2 linked regions of the Tamandua tetradactyla genome follow. The protein of the gene in region 1 interacts with the protein of each later gene in a pairwise test. Links are inferred from orthologs where the notes say so. Each region holds a gene or a part of one and is shown in the gene's direction. Other genes may lie near its edges. The genes, in order: MOS and SEC24C.

The links.
Region 2: the proteins of MOS (region 1) and SEC24C interact in binary tests that used the Homo sapiens proteins (3 or more experiments, as listed by UniProt). The two-hybrid records come from large-scale screens. The link is inferred for Tamandua tetradactyla from reciprocal best matches to the Homo sapiens genes MOS and SEC24C.

Annotation. Positions count from the first base shown.
Region 1 is NC_135332.1:99,780,963-99,790,832, reverse strand, and holds MOS (proto-oncogene serine/threonine-protein kinase mos), read left to right. Parts: upstream 1-5,663; coding exon 5,664-6,716; downstream 6,717-9,870.
Region 2 is NC_135339.1:22,896,121-22,907,978, reverse strand, and holds the start of SEC24C (protein transport protein Sec24C), read left to right. Parts: upstream 1-7,619; 5' UTR 7,620-7,742; intron 7,743-9,435; 5' UTR 9,436-9,463; coding exon 9,464-9,635; intron 9,636-11,510; coding exon 11,511-11,646; intron 11,647-11,858. Other genes in the region: SYNPO2L (synaptopodin 2-like protein), read right to left, coding at 251-765, 1,170-1,321, 2,494-2,598. UniProt on the Homo sapiens protein: Component of the coat protein complex II (COPII) which promotes the formation of transport vesicles from the endoplasmic reticulum (ER).

The DNA of each region.
Region 1 (9,870 bases):
ATATGTCATTTGAAGAGGTGATTTTTTTAAAGTATATCCCCCAACAGATGTTGTGAAGAGTGTGTTGGGCACTTTATCAATCAAATTATGATATTTCTCTGGATTTTGTGATGTCTGTGCTATTTGTCAGCTTTTTACAATTTGTAATTTGTTGTGACTTCTCTCATCTGAAAACATATTCACTTCCACACTTAATTTTTAATCTTCTTCTTAAAGAAAATACCCCAGGCTGTATAAGCTATATGGTCCACAAAGCTGGGATCTGCTCTTGTTAATATTATATTAGAATAAAGCAGCTCTGTATCTATTGCACTGACATGGAAACAAGTCTATGACATTGTGCTACTTATAAGACTCAAATTTTAGAATCTTAATAGTATAATTCCACTGAAGTAAAAAAATGTTTTCAGATTTGACTATAATCTTGGAAATATGTGTATTTTTAATAAAGCATATGCATTCATTTACATCTTAATTTTTTAGTTCTAAAAAAAGTGAATTTGCCATCTAAATTCATGCCTGTAAGTAGTAATACCATATTTCAACAATTCCAAAACTCATACTCCTTCACATTTTAACATGTCTGAAATTGGGTTATACCTTGAGGTGATGGTGAAAAAAGTGGGTCCTGGGGAACAGTTCCCTCTCCTTTCCCAGGTGCAAATATGGTCCTAACCATTTCCACATGGCCATGCTCAATAGGATTCAGTGACTTGTTGCTGCAGCTATTGAGTTTATTGGCTTTTTAAAATGTCTTCTGTAAAAGCATGGGATTACTCTAAATGGAAATAAAGTTATTGTTTACATAGAAAGGTCAGAAAACAGTGGCTTGGTGAACATTTGTTATTAGACTGGCATATCATCTTTGGGGGTTATGACGGTTCATCCAGGGCTTTCTGGCATCGAGGAAAGAAATGGACCCACCATGGATGAAATACATGTGGTTTGGAATGAGAGATTCAGGTACCAAATTGCCAAGCCTTGGAAACTTCAAAGTCAAAGAGATGGTGGAAGCCCATGAGTATACAGGTGTCCTGCACAGGTGTGTTAGTACAGGTGCACCTGTGATGTCCACTTATTCTGCTGACTGACTTTGAAGAGAGGCCGTTCATCTTCCAATGACTTGTGAATCGAGGAAAGAGGCATTGGGTACAGCACTGGGTTGAACTCCTGGATTCCACATCAATCCCTGAACTCGATTTGTCCAGCCTAAGACTATTTCGCAGCTAAAGCCCTTTTTATAAACTCAGGAAGCCTGCAGCATTAGCCCAAAGAAGAGTGTCTCCCACAATTAATGTTCCTCAATCTCTTTGGTTAAAATTATATTTAAATGAGCTGTTAATTCTGATCTCTATTGTACATCTTTTGATACATACACTGTTGAGAAGTAACTCTTCCTAATGGTGTTTGCAGAGAAAGAGTAGACAACACAGAGCCTTTACTCCAAGATCCTCAGAGCATTTGGCTCATCAATTGGGTCCACATAAGTCTCCTTCCTTTCTTTCCTTTGTTTCATTTACAATCCCCAGGTAGGAAGTGTTACTGAAGATGTCATCCACATGTTCTGTCCCTATCACTTTCTCACAGACTTTTTTAAAAATCCCAGATGTTTTGAATCAACTCCACTCTTGTCTTTGTCTGGGTATGATGTGAGGTTATCACATTTGATCAGATTAATGTACACCTGTAGCAGTTTTAGTCCATAACAGTAATGTGACATGCTTTTCTATCTTTAACATCAGAAATAAAATTTTAAAGCAGAAAAATGCTCCAAGTAAAATTTAAATTGGGTTAATGCAATGTTACCCTACAGTCCTGGTAGAATAACTTTTAAACCAATACTGTCTAACGGACTGTGAAAGTTTGAAAAGGTTTGTGTACCCTAGAAAACCATGTTTTAATCTTAATCCCATTTTGTAAAGGCAGCTGTTTCTTCTAATCCCTATTCAGTGCTGTATGTTAAAAACTTTAATTAGATCATCTCCCTGGAGATGTGACTCAATCAAGAGTGGTTGTTAAACTGGAATAGGTGGAGACATGTCTCCACCCATTCTAGGTGGGTCTTGATTACTTTACTGGAATTTTATAAAAGAGAGGAGATTCAGAGAGATCTGGGAAGGATGACAGAACGCTGCAGAATGACATAGCCATGAGAAGCAGAGAGTCCAACTGCCAGCAACCTTTGGAGATGAAGAAGGAAAATGCCTCCAGGGAGCTTAATGAAACAGGAAGCCAAAGAGGAAGCTAGCAGATGATGCCGTGTTCGACATGTGCCCTTCCAGCCAAGAGACAAACCCTGACCGTGTTCACCATGTGCCTTTCCACTTGAAAAAGAAACCCTGAACTTTATTGACCTTCTTGAACCAAAGTATCTTTCCCTGGATGCCTCAGATTGGACATTTCTATAGACTTGTTTCAATCAGGACATTTTCTTGGCCTTAGAACTATAAACCAGCAACTTATTAAATTCCCCTTTTTAAAAGGCATTCCATTTCTGTCATATTGCATTCCCTCAGCTAGCAAACTAGAACACAGATGTTTGTTTCTTAAGGGTATAAATCCACACAGATTATTTTTTATGAGTTTTGTAATAATAACATTTATGTGTTACCATAAGCCGGGCCCTGATCTAAGTATTTGAAACTGTTCATCTTCACAGCAAACCTGAAGTCAGTAGAATATTTTCCAGGTGAGGAAACTGAGGCACAGAGACAATAAGAAACCTGGGTCATGTGACCCTAAAACCTTTGTTCTTTATGACCTGGTTTGGGCTTTATCCATTTTGGAGATACAAAATATTATATATAATACTTTAAATTATATAATATTATATATCTGTACATATATACATGGTAACAAAATCAGGATTAAAATTAAACTTTAATTAAGAACTTTTATGTACTAGGTACTGTGCTACTCACAGGAGAGAAAAAAATCTCTAAGGGACATAATTCCTGTCTTCAGGGCAATTATAGTTTACAGAGAAAGAGAAACAAATTTTAAGATGCCTAAAAAAAAGGAAAACAAATGGCTATTTTAAAAATGGATATTCAATTAAATATTCTTGGACAATTTGGCAGGTGACAGATCTAGTGGATTTAGAGTTCATGCGTGTATAGATTACCACATTTTCCATAGTACCTCACATTTTATGTGAAAAAGTCAGACTCTAAACTTTGAAAAAATTGTTTATGCTACTACCTTAGAAATAAAGATTACATGATAACAAGTCACATGATCTTAAATCATAAGTAGTAGCTAGAAAGTGTAATGTCTATCGCTCTTATTCTGCTACTATTTGCAGCACTCCAGCATGTTACAACAATTTCAGAACCTTCATATTCATGGTTATTACAATTCCAAATAGATGATGGCTATTAAGTCAGTTTAGCAATTAGACCTATTATAGGATATAGTTTTATTACTTTCTTATTTAACTCTGTTTTAGTTTGTAAGCTGCTGGATTGCAATATACCAGAAATGGAATGGCTATTAAAAAGAGAATTTACTAAGCTGCAAGTTTACAGTTCTGAGGCCATGAAAATGTCCTTAGAGGCACCAAAAAGAGGTTACCTTCACTCAAGATAGGCTATTGCCATCCAGAACACTCCTGTCAGCTGGGAAGTCACGTGACTGGCATCTCCTGGGGTCTTTGGGTGTTGGATACCTCTCTCAGCTGGGAAGGTACACAAATATCTGCTAGCGTTCTCTCCTCATTTCATAAGGCTTCACCCGCGGTGCCTTCCTTTCACATCTCCAAAAGGTCTCTGGCTGTGTGGGCTCTGTTAATTCTGTTGGCTCTAAGAATTTTTCCAAAATGGTTCCCTTTTAAAGAACTCTATAAGCAACCCCATTTGAATGGGTGAAGACAGATTTCCGTGGAAACCATCTAATCAAATTTACCATCCACAATTGGGTGGGTCACATATCCAAGGAAACAATCAAAAAGATCACACCCAGCAATACTGAATGAGGATTAAAGGATGTGATTTTTCTGGTGTACATAATAGCTTCAAACCCACACAACTCTGTTCATTGTTGTTTTGGTTTGCTCTCATCCTCTTATATTTGGGGTTCAGTACAATTGCATACAACTGTAGTTCTACTAAAATATTCTATAGTTTAATGTTTAGATTTTGTTTTATTGTTGTTAATCTGGACAGGATTCCCCAATTTTTATTCCAAGATGATAATGTTTATTTTAATATTGAATATTATCCTAATTTCTTACATGAAAAGATTGAGGCTCATACAGGTTTAATCTAATACCCAACATCATATACTAAACCAGAGGAGTAGCACGGAATAAACATCCTATTCTAAAAAGGACTTAATTTCAAATTACATATGTAAATGAGCCATGTTTCTTAACGTATCTTCTCAGAACCAACATATTTCAGAAGCAGAGAAGAGCTATTTTCATAGAAATGTGCTTGCATATCACTTATGTGCTTTTAGCACTGAGTATCAGAATGGAACTTTATTATTTGACAGAAAATACAGATCCTAACATTCTCATGTGTTTTGTAATGGATAGGGTAATACTGTTTATCATTTTCCCAAGGATATGGTATGAAAATTACTTTTTCATTATGAAACTTAGAAAGGAAGAACTTATGGTTGGGTTGCAAGACCCTGAATTATATTTCAAAATCTGATTTTCCGCATTCTGTATAGGCACCAGTGAGTCCGTGCTATCTTTTTATCTTCAGAGTTTCCTCTTCTAGAATTCTCCTGTACTTATTATTTGAAGCTCTGATCATGACTCTGAGCCTTTTTTGTTCTGCCCCTGATTCTGCTTCAAAACTTCTGTAACTCATTTGCTGCAAAGTCTAGAATCTCTCTTGTAAGTGAGCTTTCTGGGTGGGCCGAATTGCTATGGAATGGGAGGACTGCTGGGAAGTTGATATGTTGCTAAAATCTTGCTAATTTGCCATATAAGCAGAATAGAGTGTCCGAGAATTTTCCTTTTCCCTGATGAACTTAGGAGGTGTGTGTTCTGAGCTGGACAGTGCTTCTATTTGGATCAATTACTCCAAGATTACAACTTTTATCCATATGAATGTGGCACCTAATTATCCCTGTAATCGGTTAAGGAAATGTCTGCTGTTTGTCTTTCAACTCTTTCTGCCAATAACTGCTGGAAGTTATTTGATGCAGCTGGAGAAGAACACTGACAATCAGAGTCTGCAAAGTGTGAAATAATTTCATTTTACTATTGTGGTCTCTTTAGTCTCAGGTCTGATAATGTTCAGCCGATGAGACTTGGAAAAAGCTCATTTTGCTATAATTGAAGAAAAGTGTCACAGAGGGGGAGCTGTGGGGCAGCTCCATGCTGTTTATATGGTGAGCTCTTCCTGAGAGCTTGCTTTTATAAGAATTCACTTAAGTGTTTAAGGGAAATGCTTTCATCTGAAGGTGATTGTTGTGCTTCCTTCAGATTTTTCCCCTATCCGATTAAACACACACACACACACACACACACACACAAAACACCCTGGCTGTGCAAAGGCACACAGATGTGGCTCATTTGGAGACAATGAAGGGAGAGGATAAAGAGGCTGTGGCGCCGGGAAGGCCTGGTCAATCATGCATCCAAGCTGGCGCAGCCCTTTCTTTCCTCTGCGTCCATCTGGGTCCCGGGTCTCCACCCTGAAGGCGCCATGCCCTCACCTCTCCCTCTGCGCCGTTGCCTGCCTGGAGAGCTGTCGCCCTCGGTGGACTCGCGGCCCTGCAGTAGCCCCTCGGAGCGCCCAGGTAAGGCAGGGAGGCTCTTCTGGGGTGGCACCCCGCCCAGGGCGCCGCGGCTGCCACGCCGGCTGGCCTGGTGCTCCATTGACTGGGAACAAGTGTGCTTCCTCCGGAGACTGGGAGCTGGCGGGTTCGGCTCGGTTTACAAGGCCACTTACCACGGTGTGCCCGTGGCGGTGAAGCAGGTGAACAGGTGCACCAAGAACCGCCTGGCATCGCAGCGAAGCTTCTGGGCTGAGCTCAACATAGCCAGGCTCCGGCACGACAACATCGTTCAGGTGGTGGCGGCCAGTACGCGCACGCCTGCGGGCTGCGATAGCCTGGGCACCATCATCATGGAGTTCGGGGGCAATACCACTTTGCACCAAGTCATCTACGGCGCGCCCCACCACCGTGGGGACGAGGAGGAGCCTCGCTGCCGGACCGGGGAGCAATTGAGTTTGGGAAGGTGCCTGAAGTATTCCCTAGATGTGGTGAACGGCCTGATTTTCCTCCACTCGCAAAGAATCGTGCACTTGGACCTCAAGCCGGCTAACATTTTGATCAGTGAGCAGGACGTCTGCAAAATCGGTGACTTTGGCTGCTCCGAGAAGCTGGAAGGCCTGCTGTGCCTCCAGCCCCCACGGTGCCCCCTGGGTGGCACATACACGCACCGAGCCCCGGAGCTCCTGAAAGGAGAGGCGGCCACCCCCAAAGCAGACATCTACTCCTTCGCCATAACCCTATGGCAAATGGCCACCAAGGAGGTGCCCTACTCGGGGGAACGACAGCACGTGGTCTATGCAGTCGTGGCCTATAACTTGCGCCCCTCTCTGTCCGCGGCGGTCTTCACGAACTCGGTCCCGGGTGGGAGACTGGAGTGTATCATTGAAGGCTGCTGGGCGCCCAGCGCTGTCCAGCGGCCAAGTGCAGAGCTCCTCTTTGCGGACCTTAGCTCTTTAAAGGCTGAGTTCGCCTGGCTTTGAACTTGCTTCCAGAGAAGCTTTTCCCTTTATTTCTATTCATTTTTTAAAGAAGTGGCGTTGTAGAAAACTATTTGTAAGACAGGTTTTTAGAAAATAAAGTGACTTAATAACTTCTTTAGTCTAACATGGTTTTACCAAGACAAACAGGCAGGACTAAAATTTGAGCAATTGTGTAGAAACTACCGTTATTCCTTTCTGCAGTTAGTTTGCTTGTGTTCACAGTTAGCACAGTTAGTACAGTTAGTACAGTTATTCAGATTTGCTGTTGACAAAACCAGGTTGTGCAGAACAGAATGGAACTGCAGAAATGCCAAAATTTTCTATGCATTCGAACAGTATGTACCATACCCACCATCTAACTTCAAATGGTCAAATTCAAACTGTCACAAATTACTGGTCCTATGCCAAATCCATAAAGACTTTTTTTAAAGTTATTTTTTTCTACTTCCTCCTCTAAAATAGCATTCTCATTTGTAAGGACCCTCACACATAATATTCAGGAATTGAAACTAATTTCAGTTCAAATGAATTTTAGATGATACTTAATGGTAAAGTATATAATCCACAAAAAAGAAATAAACATAATGAATAACTGTGAACCAAATCCCACACTAACAATTTTCATAAACAAGAAATAACAAGTAAGTACAAACTTGTTTTTAATAGGAGAATTTAGATTACTTCTGTAGGTCCAAAACAGATTAGAGGGACACAAAATAGGAGATGATGTAGAAAACTGACACGATAATCGATAGAGTGAACCTAACTGTTATCTCGAGCTTTCAGGACTGGAAGAACTAACAGAGTTTCTTGTCAAGCCCCTTTTGAAAACTGACCTAGTATGCCAGGGAGAAAACCTCAAATTCCAAAACTTAAAAAATTAAAAAGAACAGAGGCAAATAGGATTGAAATTAATAATAAAATTAGAAAGCAAATAACACTCTTTATCTGGAAATTGGGAAAACTCTGAAGCAATGATATGTCAAAAGAAAACACTAATCAAAACTGTAGGAATCCTAGAAAACAACAAAAATGAAAACATATTAGAAACAAATTCAGGTCTTTAAGTAAAATCAAAGTGACTTAAGGATATGAATCAAAGGAGGAGAAGAAACAAAGAAGGAAAGCAGGAGGAATGAGTTAAAACAAGGAAATAAAAATAAAAGTTTGAATAAAAATCAAAATGGACAACTCACTTGCTAATCTAAAAGAAAAAATTGCACATATACACAAAATTCGAAATAAAGGACAAATGATCAAAACAGTGGAAATTTTTAAACATTTTAAGAGAGAACATTGAATTTGAATACCTAGAAAGAACATATAATTTGCTGGACAGCTACAATTTACTAAAACCGTACCCAATGAAGGCAGAAAGTCTAAAAGGACCATAGAAAATGCTCTCCAGTCCCTTCTCTGCCTGCTCCATAGGCCATAAAGACCCAAGTTCTGTTGCCTTCTATCAAATCCTTAAAGACCAGGTAATCCAGATGCTACTTAAACTATTCCAGATCACAGAAGGAAAACTTCCAAATTCTTTCTAAGGATTACATTTAAACCAATGTCAGATAAAGACCGCTGGAAGAAAAAAAAAAAAAAGAAACTGCAGATCAATCTAACTTATAAATTGGTGAGCAAAAAAGTTCTAAATAAGATATTAGCCAAGAGCATCCAACAGTTCATTAAAAATATAATGCATATAATATTTTAAACTATGTGGATTTATTCTAGGGGATGCAAGGTTGTATCACGATTAGGCAATCTGTTAACTTAATTCATCATATTAATAGGTCAAAGGAGAAAAATAATACATTCTGAAAAGATATGACCAAACTAAATATTCATTCCCAATTTTAAAAAAAATGACTCACTCAAAGTAATAAGAATCAATAGATAGGTCCTTAACATAATTTAAAAAAATACACACACAACCAATGTTAATTTCATGGTTATATAAGATGTTAACATTAAGAGAAACAGAGTGAAGAGAATACAGGAATGTTTGGTACTATCTTTGCAACTCTTTTGTAAATCAAGATTATTTCAGAAGAAAAAGTTTAAAAATCATAGAGCACACGTACGTATTTCAGCTCAATCACCACTGTCTTCCCTAACAGGGAGTCACTAAGGGATTCCTACTTAAGTCAAGAGGTATATGAGGATGTCTACTATTAATTAACACTTCATTGTCCAATGAAGTTAGAAAAAAGGACATTTGAGTTTTAAAAATTGTCAAGAGAGGGAAAATGAATTCTGTTTGCAGATTCTATTGTCAGTTTTATACCTGAAATACAAGAATCGATGGCATCAGTTAATTTGGACAATAAGGAAATTATGTAAGGGAACAGGATATAAAATTAACACACAGAAAGCAATGGACTTCAGACATGTAAACAAAAACCGGTTAGAATTTACAAAAGAAGAGGAGCCCCTTTTACAACAGCAATGAAAAACATAAAATATTCTCTCTGACCTGGGCACTGCCTGCGTGGTTGATGACTCCAGGGCCACACCCTTGTCCAGTGTGGGAGGGACACTAGTTATACACAGGAGGGTTGAGCAAGTAGGCGAATTTGCTGAGGATAATGTCAGCCAAGTTTTGTAAGCCTTCAGAAGGAGTTATAGGAGTCCTAAGTACAGAAAGGAGGAAGTGTAAACCCTGTAGTGCTGGATTGAAATCAGAGGTGTTGGTGTGGGCTCATGGCTTTTGATAGAGATAGATGGATAGAGTGATACCGATAAAGGACTAGACACAGATGCATGTGTATATATGTGTGTAGATCATGTGTTTTGAACTCCGATCTTTAGTTTATGAATTCTAAATTAAAAGCAGAATAAATGATTTTTAAAATTCAAGGTTAGTCTGAAAATGGAAAAATATAAATTCATTCACAGCTAGGAAGACTGTACCATTACCTCATGCCCTGGATTAAAGCAAATCACATTTCACTTATTACACGTTATTTTAAAAAAGAAAAGATTTAATTGCAAAAGTTATTTAGAATAATTTCATTGTTTGGAGTCCTCTGTAGAACAAATAATCTGAAAGCTATAAGCTTCTACAGGTCAAGATGGTGTTTAATTTATGTCATACCTCACTCTCAGGTGCATAATGGACCCTAAATAAAACATTAAAAATGGATTTAGAAAAAAT
Region 2 (11,858 bases), on another chromosome or scaffold:
CATGTCCCTACCTACCCTGCTGCTGGGTCAGGCTAAACCACCTGTGCCTTTTTGCTATATTAGTTCAAACAGTAAAAATAATGGGACTGTGAGTGTAGTTATCATGCTCACCCACTCATCACTCTTCTCCACTTGTCTCAAGACCATCTCCAAGGGAAGGAAAAGATAGGTGGCATGTAAGTTTATAGAAGGGTAGTTTGGGGCCCAGACTGAAGAATCTTGGCTGGGGAGAAGGGGTGCAGTTACTCACTGGCTTGCTTGGCCTTCTGGGTGTAGGTGGTAGTAAGATCTTCTGCCACTGGGTGGGGAACAGGCCCCACCATAGGAATGAGGTGAGGACCAGGCTTGAGGGGGCCATGGGGAAGCAACAGAACCTCGGCCGGGGGTGGCTTTAGGGCTGTCACATCCTCCCAAGTTGGGGAGCTCACCCGGCCGTCACCCTGGTTAGGAGGGCCAGGGATGACAGGGGCTGGCTCTGCAGGGCTGTCAGATAGGTAGATCTCATCAGGTGGAGCTCCTGGAGGGGTGGGCCTCATAGGGCCTCTGCGGCGGGGTCGGCGGGGCTTCTCTTGGGCGGCTGGGCCATCAACATCACTGTCTGTTTCTCCATAGTAAGCCTCACTGTCAGGGGGTGAACGAAGGCTTCCAGGTTGCAGAGGCTGGGGAACTGGAGCGCCAGGGGGCTCAGGACTCAGTGGAGACAAGGGTGACAGCACCTGAAGCTCACCAGGGGATGGAGATCGCACAGGCCCCATAGCCCCTGACCTGGGTAGAGAAGATCAGACTTGAGAGGGGAGCTAGGTGACTGAGAGCTTGAGAGATCTGGAGGAGATAGCAGAAGGAGGTTAGGGGGACAGGGGGGACCAGGGTACAGGTAGAATGAATGGATGGTGAAGAGTGAAGGTCTCAAAACAAACTGGGGGGCAAATGTGCCTGGAGGGCTGAGGGTGGAAATGAGCTGAGAGGGGGATGTGAGGATGAGGTTAGGGATTGAAGTAGGCCCACACACTCACATACCCATTTGACAACCCATCCCTTAATTATTGATTCAAGCTGCTTGGAGACATACATAAGCATGTATACTCTAGCACAAACACTCAAGCAGAAATGGGCACTTAATAGCTGCTGAGGGCAGGTTAGTGAGAGGTAGAGCTGAGGGAGGTCCATACCGCCTCACAGTGAGAACAAGCTGATTCCCTGAGGTGTCAATGAGGCTCATAGCACTGGCATGAGAGAGGCTGGTGCAGGAGACCCCATTGATGGCCAAGAGCTGGTCCCTCTCTCTGAGTCCTGCTCTGCCAGCCTGACTCCGTCTTCGGATCTGAGAAAGAAGAGACTGCAGGTGAAGGAGAGCTCCAAGGGGAGTAGAATGAAAGGAGTTAGGACAAGAAGGACCCTGTGAGGAAGGGATTTTATTTTGAGGGGGCAAAGGGCTTCAGTTGAGGGACCTTGTACTGAGAGAGGAAGGTGAAGATTGGAGAGCATAACATATCATTTAGGAGGAAGTAGAGTAACCACTGAATGAAAGAGGCTTGGGGAAAACTGTTTGGGGGAAGTATCAGAAATAGTGGTTATAGTCCCAAGTTTTCCCTCCAAGGGCAAAATCTATACTTGTCAATAGCGCTTTACCAGGCCTTTGGATCCCAAGGGCCATTATCTACACAATGAAGGGTTTAAACAGTATTCCAGATTGGAGGGAGTCCAGCTAGATTCCTAGAGATTGTGACTGTGTTTATTTGTGTGCCATGTATGTGCGCATGTGCATACCTGTTAAAGTAATGTGGTAGTAGTGGGTAGTGGCTTCCATTTATTGAATGTTAGGCACTGTGTTAGGTACTTCACATGTATTGTTGCATTAAATCCTTAGAATGGTTCTATGTTACCCACCATTTACCCATTTGAGGAAACTGGGGCTCAGAGAAGTCAGTGGCAGCCTGTAGGGTGAAACTGAAAGAGTAACACTTCACCTGAGAAGCCAGATATTCCTCTCCACCCCACATCCCCCAGTACTTAAAAAGCCTTGCTTAGTGAGAGAAAGGATCTGGCTTAGGGAGAGAAAACCACTTGAAGGCAGGAAGGAAGACAGGGCTGGGGGTCTGGGCAGGTCTGGGCTGGGTGAGTCAGCCTTAGCTCATCACATATCAGTTTAGTCAGAGAGAAATTAGAATCTTCCCTACATTCCTGGAATTTATAGTAGAGGTACGGATCCAGCAAAGTGCTCTGCTACCATCGTGCCCCAGGAAACTGAAGCAGAGCCTTCCTTTTTCTCTGCTTCCTGAAAAGCAGGAGTTCTCTTCTCTAATCGCCCTCAACAAGAAGCCTGTGGTCAGCCACCATTTCCCCAGCCAGACCAGAACATGCACCCCTGCCCACCTACCCACCTCCCACTCCTTTTTGTCACTGCCTCTCAGCTTCTCTCCCACCACATGACTCGTCCTGGGTTCCCTTCGGTTCCCCTTTCCCTGAAGCCTCATTTCAGGGGCTCTCCCTTACCTTGGACACCTGTAAGGGTTTCTTCTGCTCGGCCCCCCCCTGAAGTCGGAAGCCCCAGGGGGCTCCCCCTGACAGTGTGACCAGCACTTCCTCCTCAGCACCCATTGCTCAGCTTGGCCTACGGTCCCCGGAATTTGCAGACTGTCCCAGGAAGAGAAGTTGAGGCGACGGTACCCTGTCCGGCTGTCCTGCTCCTGCTGCCCCAGGCCTCCCCCCCAAACCACACACTACAGGCAGGCAACTTAGCCCTCAGATCAGTACAGTCCAGCACACGTGGCCTGTCAATCGGAGCTATGCTCAAAATAGATGCCAGCAGTACTCCCCTCCCTCCCCCAGCTAGGTTACTCCCAGTGCTAATTATAGTCAAACTGTTGCCTTCCCATGTCCCCCCATTCTCCTGCATGGGCTTTTTCCGCAGAACTCGGAGTATTTGCTTCTGGGCTCTACAACTAACGTATACTCTCTCAAGGACTGTGCCTTTCTTGATAGGATCAGGGACTGATCCCATCTACTTTCCTTCAAAGCCCATTTCAAAATGGCGATGGCAGAGGCTTCAGTTCCAGAGCCGACAAGCAACGGGTTTGCAAAAAGTTCCCAAACTCCCCAGAAAAGAGTGCCTCCTCGTGTACCATTTATAATCAAAGTGGAGATCTGTATTCCACTGTAGTGCTGGGTGCTATGGAGAGGAATTCTCCCGGTCAGCCCTGCCCCATAGAACTGTTGCTGCTTCTACAGAGCCTTGCCTGACCATCTGATGACTCCTCCCCTATAGAGTTAATCCTTCCCTGCTCTGGGCAACATCTGTATCTTGTTCAAATTTCTATTGTTGTATTTCTCAACCAATATTGTAATTTGTCTACATGCCTGTTTCCCTCCTAGACTGTGAGAGACTTGAAGGCAAGACTCTGTGCAATAGCCAATCGATAGCCTGTTATCAGACAGAACAATGCCTGATGTAATGAGTGCTCAACAAATGTTTGCTGAATTAAATGATCTCTTACATTCAACAGGTGGTTTTAGTCACAGATAGGTAAACATGCCAACCCATGTTAAACCCACCTCTACTAGTTTCTAGGTTCCTGTTAAATGAATGTGCCCTATATTAAGAGATGTCTTCCTGTTAAAAAAATAGAATTATGCTGTTCTATCTGTGATTATCCAAAGCTACAGAGTTCCTTAAGATAGCTGTTCCCATAGTGCCCCAGGTGCTGTTTGCCTTGGTGTATGATGTAGTCATAGAAGACACTTGAGATTTTGAGTCAGAAGACTTGGACTTGAGTTCTTGTTCCGTCATTTATTATCTGTGTGAGTCAGGTAGTCACTTGACCTGATCAGTGGGAAAAAATAAAAAAGGACTTAATTATCCATGCATTCGTTATTCAAACATTTATTGTGCTAACTGCACACCAGCCAGTACTTTCAATTAACCTGAATGCACATTAAAATCACCTGGAAAGCTTTTAAAACTACTGATCCCCTGCAGTGCAAAGGTAGCTCAGTGTTAGAATTCTCGCCTGTCATGCTGGAGACCTGGGTCCAATTCCTGGAGACTGTACATGTCAAAAAAAAAAAACAACAAACAAACAAGAAAACACTACTGATCCCCTAAAATAAGACAGTGTATAGGATCAGGTGATTGTGTAATAAAATAATCTATTAATGTATACATATATATATACATTACATACACACATTACATATATGTAATGATTCCCAGGCTCCTGATTTTATTGGTTTGGTACTTGGTATTGGTATTTAACAAAGCACTGAAGCTATGAATATAGGCTCTATCATTTATTAGGGGTGCACCCTTGAGCGGGACAGAGAATACCTGTTTTACTATGCTGAGATGAGCTCTAAATTGGATAAATTATGGGCAATGTTAGCAGTGAGGCCAGCCTAAGGTAGGCACTCAACAAATGTTATTTGAATTTAGCAAATTATTAATCTAAGACAGTGGTTCTCTATTTTCAGTGTGCAATGGAATCACCTGAAGGACTTGTTAAACCATAAATTGCTGGTTCCCACTTCCAGTTTTTGATTCAGTATTTCTAGGGTAAGTCTGAATTTCTAGCAAGTTCCCAAGTGATATTGACTCTTGCTCCCAGGGTCACATTTTAGAACTACTGACCTCGAGTATAAACTCCTGAGGCCAGGGATGATCTTCCTGTTCGCTAAAGCATATTCAATGCTTAATACAGTTTTCAGCACAGACTACATGTGCAATGAATTTTTTCAACAAATTAACTTCTTTGTGCCTCAGAATAATTAATATCTACTGTCAACAATATGAGATCAAGGACTTTGTTTTGTTCATTACTATATTTCCAGCACCCAGAACATAACATGGCATACAACACTACTCACAAAATAGTTGTTAATAGTTGTCCTCAGTATTAAATGAGGTCATATATAAGAAAAAAAAATCCCATAAGTCTTAGGTACAATTATTGGAATTCTTTAGATCAGGTAATAATAATTACTGGAAGGACTGTAGCCTTTCCAATAGACTAGGGGCACTCTGAGAGCAGAGATCCTATCTTCTGGTTCTGGCAAATCTCTGCACCTAAAGGAAGAGGCTGTATGAAAATGGTTAATTGAGAACAGCCAATCTTTGCTGAGTGCTTACTATGGTGCCAGACAGCCTACGTGACTTGTCAAATTCAATCTTCTCAACCCACTATAAGATTGGACATCAATAGTTCCATTTTTAAGATTGTGCTGGTTTGAAATGATGTATGTACCCTAGAAAAGCCATGTTTTAATCCTAATCCCATTTTGTAAAGGCAGCCGTTTCTTTTAATCCCTATTCAGTATTGTATGTCTGAAACTGTAATTGGATCATTTCCCTGGAGATGTGATTTAATTAAGAGTGGTGGTTAAACTGGATTAGGTGACGACATGTCTCCACCCATTTGGGTGGGTCTTGATTATCAGTTTCTGAAGTCCTATAAAAGAGAGAACATTTCGGAGAATGATAGAGATTCTGAGAAAGCAGAGAACAACATAGCCATGAGAAGCAAAGAGTCCACAGGCCAGCGACCTTTGGAGATGAAGAAGGAAAACGCCTCCTGGGGAGCTTCTTGAAACAGGAAGCCAGGAGAGAAAGCTAGCAGATGACGCCCTGTTCGCCATGTGCCCTTCCAGCTGAGAGAGAAACTCTGACTGTGTTTGCCATGTGCCCTTCCACTTGAGAGAGAAACCCTGAACTTTATTGACCTTCTTGAACCAAGGTATCTTTCTCTGGATGCCTTAAATTGAACATTTCTATAAACTTGCTTTAACTGGGACATTTTCTCGGCCTTAGAACTGTTAACTACTATTTAATTCCCCTTTTTAAAAGCCACTCTGTTTCTGGTATATTGCATTCCAGCAGCTAGCAAACTAGAAGAAAGATGAAGGCAACTGAGGCACAAAGAGATTAAGTGCCAAAAACAGCGAAATACTGAGCCAGAATTCTCACCCATAAGCCCTTTGCTAACTGTGATTATTAAAAATTACAGAATCCCATGGACAAGCAGAGTTAGTGCCCTTTACTACCATAAATACATTCAGCAAAAAAACACCAGTGAGAACAACCTCAAAGGTGGAAATCAGTGAGGTCAGAGGCCAGCAGGAAGTCACCATAGGACTCAAGATCAGAGGTCACTATCTTCCCCATTTGGAGAATTTCTGATATTCTCCCAAGCAGTGGGGACAACCAGATCAATAGGCCGAGCACTCAATCTTGGGGTTTGTTCCTATGAAACTCATCCCTGCAAAGGACAGGCTAAACCTACTTAAAATTAGGCCTAAGATGGGTAGGCCACAGTGGGTCAGCAGGCAGAGTTCTCACCTGCCATGCTGGAGATCCTGGTTCAATTCCCAATGCCTGCCCAGGCAAAAAAAAAAAAAAAAAAAAAAAACCCCAAAAATTATGCCTAAGAGTCACCCCCAGAGAACCTCTTTGGTTGCTTAGATGTGGCCTCTCTCTCAGCCAACATGGAAAGCAAATTCACTGCCCAACCCCTCTCTATGTGGGACATTGACTCTGAGGGGTGTAACCTCCCTGGCAACGTGGAACAGAAATCCTAGAATGAGCTGGGACTCAGCATCAACTGATTCAGAAAGCCTTCTTGACCGAAAGGGGGAAGAGAGAAATGCAAGATAAAGTCTCAGCAGCTGACAGATTTCAAACAGAGTCGAGAGGTTATCCTGATGCATTATATAGATACCCCCTTTTTAGATTAAGGTATATTAGGCTAGAGGGAAGTCCCTGAAACTGTAGAGCTGTGTTCCAGTAGCCATGTTTCTTGAAAATGATTGTATAATGATATAGCTTTCACAATGTAACTGTGTGATTGTGAAAACCTTGTGTCTGATGCTTCTTTTATCTACCTTATGGACAGATGAGTAAAACATGTATTAAAAATAAATAATAAGGGAAACAAATATTAAAATTTTAAAAATATATATTGGATAGATGGAAATACTAGTGGTCAATGAGAGAGAGGGGTAAGGGGTATGTGGCATGTATGAATTTTTCTTTTTATTTCTTTTTCTGGAGTGATGTAAATGTTCTAATGATCAAGGAAATGTTCTAAGAAATGATGAATATGCAATTATGTGATGATATTGAGAATTACTGATTATATATGTAGAACGGAATGATATGTTAATGTTTTTGTTTGTTCTTAATTTTTTTAATTAATAAATTTTAAAAAAGATCATGGTAATGAATATACAACCATGTGATGATACTGTGAACCACTGATTGTGCACCATGTATGTAATGTTCGTATGTTAAGAATGTATGTGCTTGTAGTTGTGGTATCAATAAAAAATTTTTTTAAAGTTTGTGTTTGCATGTTTCATTAATTTAAAAAAAAGATCAGAGGGCACTAATAGGTCATTGGCAGATTGAGGGGGCGTCACTAAAGACACTCTGACCCAACCTTCTCAAAGCGTATCTCAGTCGTTGGGGTTATAAAATGACTAAGTCATGTGAAGCCAGGAAAAAAAAAAAAAAGGCGGAAATGCATAAGAATCCATGGAGCCTCCCAGCGGATGGCCATGAGTGATGGAAGTTGCGCATGCCTAGCATCCGGGTTCCTGAGAGCGTGCCTAGTGTAGACGTGGCAGTGGAGCAGCCCGGCCCACGAACGTGGGGGCTGGACTTCCGGGAGCGACGCTACGGCCCCCTCGGAACCGGAAGTGAAGCTTGGGAGCCTTGACGTTAGGAACGAAGTCGAACCTGGATCTGGAGCCGGGTAAGGAGTGGCATCGGGAGGTTGGTGGGTAGGAAAGCAGAGGAGAGGTCGGGGTATCACTGGCCACATCAGGGTCCAGTGTGAGAAGGAAGGGAGGAGTCCGGAGGCGGGGCTCGGGGAGAGACCCTTATCTCACGCATCTACAATCCAGGGTCAGCCGTAGACCCTCCCTTCTTCTCCCGCCCAGATTTCGACTCCAGCTTCCTACCCCGAGCCTGTTGAAGGGCTCAAGACGCTCGGTTCCCAAGTTTAAAGGACCAGCGCCCTCTTCGTCTCCCTCGTTCTTGATGCCTGGCCCTCCCAGCCTCCACTGCTCGTCTGCTTCCAGAGTTCTAGGAAGCTTGCCCCGCCCCCTTGAGTTGTCATCCTCGACTGTCTTCAGAATGGAGTGAGACTTGAGCCTGATTCCAAGCGCTTGGGTGTGTTTGAGGGGATTATTTCTTGGAGAAAAAGCTCCTTTGTTGTTTCCCTCTAGGACTTTAAGGGACATAAATGAGAGGGGACTATGTGTTTAGTTTAGTGTCACTGATCTGTGCAAGGTTTAGGATTTCGAACCGTTCCTGAGATGGCTTTCAGTTTAAAGAGCTCTAGTCCGGTAGCAGCTCAGCTTTTCTATAGTCAAGATGGCCCTTTCTAGCAAAAGGGAGAGTACCCATTGTTACACTGCATCAACTGTGAGCTCTTCTGCTTTCTGGACCCCTTCCGTCTTTAAGATAGTTGGGTTGGTGAGGCTGATTAAAGTAGATGTCATCAGACAATACTCTTCTTGGAAGGACCCTAGAAAGGCCTTCTAATTCATTCTTCTCACCTGACAAGATTGTAGTAATTTTGGCAGTGGCCTATATTCATTAAAATCATATAAGGAGAGCAGAACAGAAGAATTGAAGTACATTGGGGTTTGGAACACTCACAGACTCTCTGTTTGAAGCATAAGATGAGTGACCTTTTACATCAAGTCTAACTTCGCCACTGATTCTTGAGCTGTTTCCTTAGGTTATTGTGAAGTTTTTGTGCCTGGTCTATAATCATCTGTAATCTGGTACCTTAACCAGAGTTTTCAGGTATCTTTTACAGTTAGGGATTTTGATGCTTCAGTTCTAAGGTCGATATACCCTTTTGGTGGGAAGACTGGGGATGGAGTAGCATTTTGATTATTCAGGTTAATCAAAGCATGTCATTTCTCTCACAGTTACTCAAAAATTTGCCTTTTGAGGAAGAGGGAACTTCATTGATCTGTTTTAGTCTCGGTGATTAAAAAACACTAGTACACTTTAGGGTACTCAGAGTTTGTTGAATGAATAGATGTGGGAGCATTGTTTAATTTACCTTGTAATATCACAGTAGTTCTTCAGCCCCAGGACTCTTTGTGTGACTAGATGCTAGAAGTCATATCACTGGGGAATGAAAACTGTTGCTCCATTCCAGGGGGCTTCTCTGAAGTTGAAATTTATAACCCCTTGGCATTGACAAAGCATGTGGTTCAGAGAAACAAAATCCTTTCTTTCTCTGAGGAGGTAAACTGGGTACTCGCTGGGACAGAAAATTACTAGATCCTGTTATTGTGTAGAAATGATTAGGCTAATCATTCTCTGATAAAGTCAATCCCTTTTACTCCTACTTCCTACCCCAAATATTTGCTTTATCTTTAGGAAGTTGGTTTTGACTAATTTCTCTCTTCTTTCTCATCTGATAGGTGAGACCAAGTTGGGGATGCTCTCATAATGAACGTCAACCAGTCAGCTCCACCTGTGCTGCCATATGGGCAGCCCCAGCCTGTCTACCCAGGGTATCATCAGTCCAGCTATGGTGGGCAGCCAGAGTCCACTGTCCCTCCCATTCCCTATGGAGCCTACAATGGCCCAGTACCAGGCTATCAGCCAACACCTCCCCCAGGTATATGTTTACAAGTTTTCTTTGAGCCATGGAGAGGAATCAGAAGAGTTTTAGTTTGGGTTGTATTGCCTAGCTAAGTTGCCTGGAGAATTATGGTGACTGGGACTGAGGAATATAAATCTGGCTCTCTTCACTGGGAGCACTGTGGGTAGCTGCCCTTCCCTGTTTTTACTATAGGATGACTGTTTCTGGTTCAGCCTTAAGGCATCTAGTGGCAACACATCTTCCAGGTTCAGTGGCAGTTCATTACCTGTTGATATCGTGCTAAAGTATACCTAGCTGTATTGTTCAGAGCTTGCTGGAAGGAGTGTGGTCACAGCTCCTCTAGAGCCTATGACTGGCACTTAATATTTCCCATTGTCCTAAAGTCTTCCTGAAATCACTTATTTCTCATGTATATTGAGAATGCCTCTAATTGGACAGATGGTTTTATCTGTAAATGATTCTGGGACACATAGATCTAATTCATGGATGAAAGGTATAGTTATATTTGTGCCTTAGTTTTGATGCCTCTCATACCTTTCTGATGATACCATTCTTCTTTGCTTGAGTTTCCTCTGCTTAGATGTTCTGTACTATCAGGGCAATGGAAGAAGACTAATCTAATGCTGCCTTAGGGTCAATGTTTGGTTATTATGTTACTTTTTCAGGGAAGGGCAGCTCTACAGATTGTTGGGAGGGGCTTTTTGGAGAGTAGTTAACAGTAGATCTTTGGTTAGGCTGCCTCAGAATATAGGGTATACCAAACTTTATGCTTTTTTTTAAGAGTATAAATTACATAAAGACATAAGGGAAAAAGAGGGCACCAAGGAGGCAAAGGTAGGATTTGGGAAATAAATGAAGTATTACCATTTTTAATTAAGATTTGGAAAATATGAATTGGAAAGATTAGGAGAGATTAGGTTTCAGGTCTGTAGATGAGCCTACCCTGGGTTGGGACTTTGACAGGACAAAGTCCACAGTTCTCCAAAGTCTTGGCTTATCAAGATGGAATTTGGTATTGCCACAGGAGGAAAACATATCTGGTTTTAGTCATGGCTTGTGAGCAAGTTCAGATTAATCATGTTTTTCTAGGCAGGTTTTGTAGTGTCTAATTTCTGCTGAAGACAGAAAAAAAATTATTTTTGAACAGGGGTCGGCAGCATTTCAAGAGTGATGTGTGAAGTTACTAATTGTTTTCTTCATAAGTAGCTTTGATGGTAGCTCTGATGAGTAGAAAGGTTGAACTAGAACTTTTGTGACGTCAGAGGTACCAGCATTAATAGGAGGACAAATCAACTGCACTAAATGAACTCTTGGACAGAAACAAGGTCTTCAGCTTCTGGGGAATACTTCCTGAGCTCTGTGCTTTTGGGAGCTTTCACACTTAGAAGTAGGTGAAAAAAATATAGATGAAAAAGAAGAGGAAGGTGATAGAAGAGTCTTCCCAAGAGGCGCCTTTCTTTACAATCTAGTTCAGTATATTAGTTGGTTATCTTCTATGCTACTTTTCTCATATATGCTTCGTGTTTCTGAATTCTGGAGTATGGTCTTTTCCATAAAAGACTTGACTTTTTGTCTAGGGTAACATCATTGACTGTGCTGGATGGAGTTGGAGAGGATGATGATCACAGGAAGGCCTTACATTCTTGTGGCTGTGTCTACAGCTTCACCCCAAGTATAGCTGTCTAGGAGGGTAAAGACTCTGTCTAGGCATCCATGTTCAGAATGTTGCTGTAGCTAGAGTTGCATGTTGGTGATGTCATTTTCACTGCAAAGCTGTGGTATTGGGCCAATGAAGGTCTGAGTTTATTGGTCCTTGCTTTGCATTCCTGGCTTAGGGTGGAAGAAAAAAAATTATTTCACAATTACTTAGTTTCTGTCCTTTACCCTTAGGTGTGTCAAGAGCCCCACCTTCCTCAGGGGCACCTCCTGCCTCAACAGCACAGGCTTCTTGTGACCAGACTGCATATGGCCAGTTTGGCCAAGGAGATATACAGAATGGGCCGAGCTCTACTGTTCAAATGCAGAGGTATGTACTTGGGTCAACCTAAAAATCAATCTGATGAAGCTGGTAGGGTTAGAAATGCATGAGGATCTGTTTCCTTTTCTGCTTTTTCATCTATATTTCCCTTAAATCCCTTTCTCTCTTCCTTCCACTCTTTGTCGTTTGTTGTCTTTTTCTTTCTAGGTTACAAGTGCTGGTGATAGCCAGCTCTGTGAATTATTGATCTATCTCTGTAC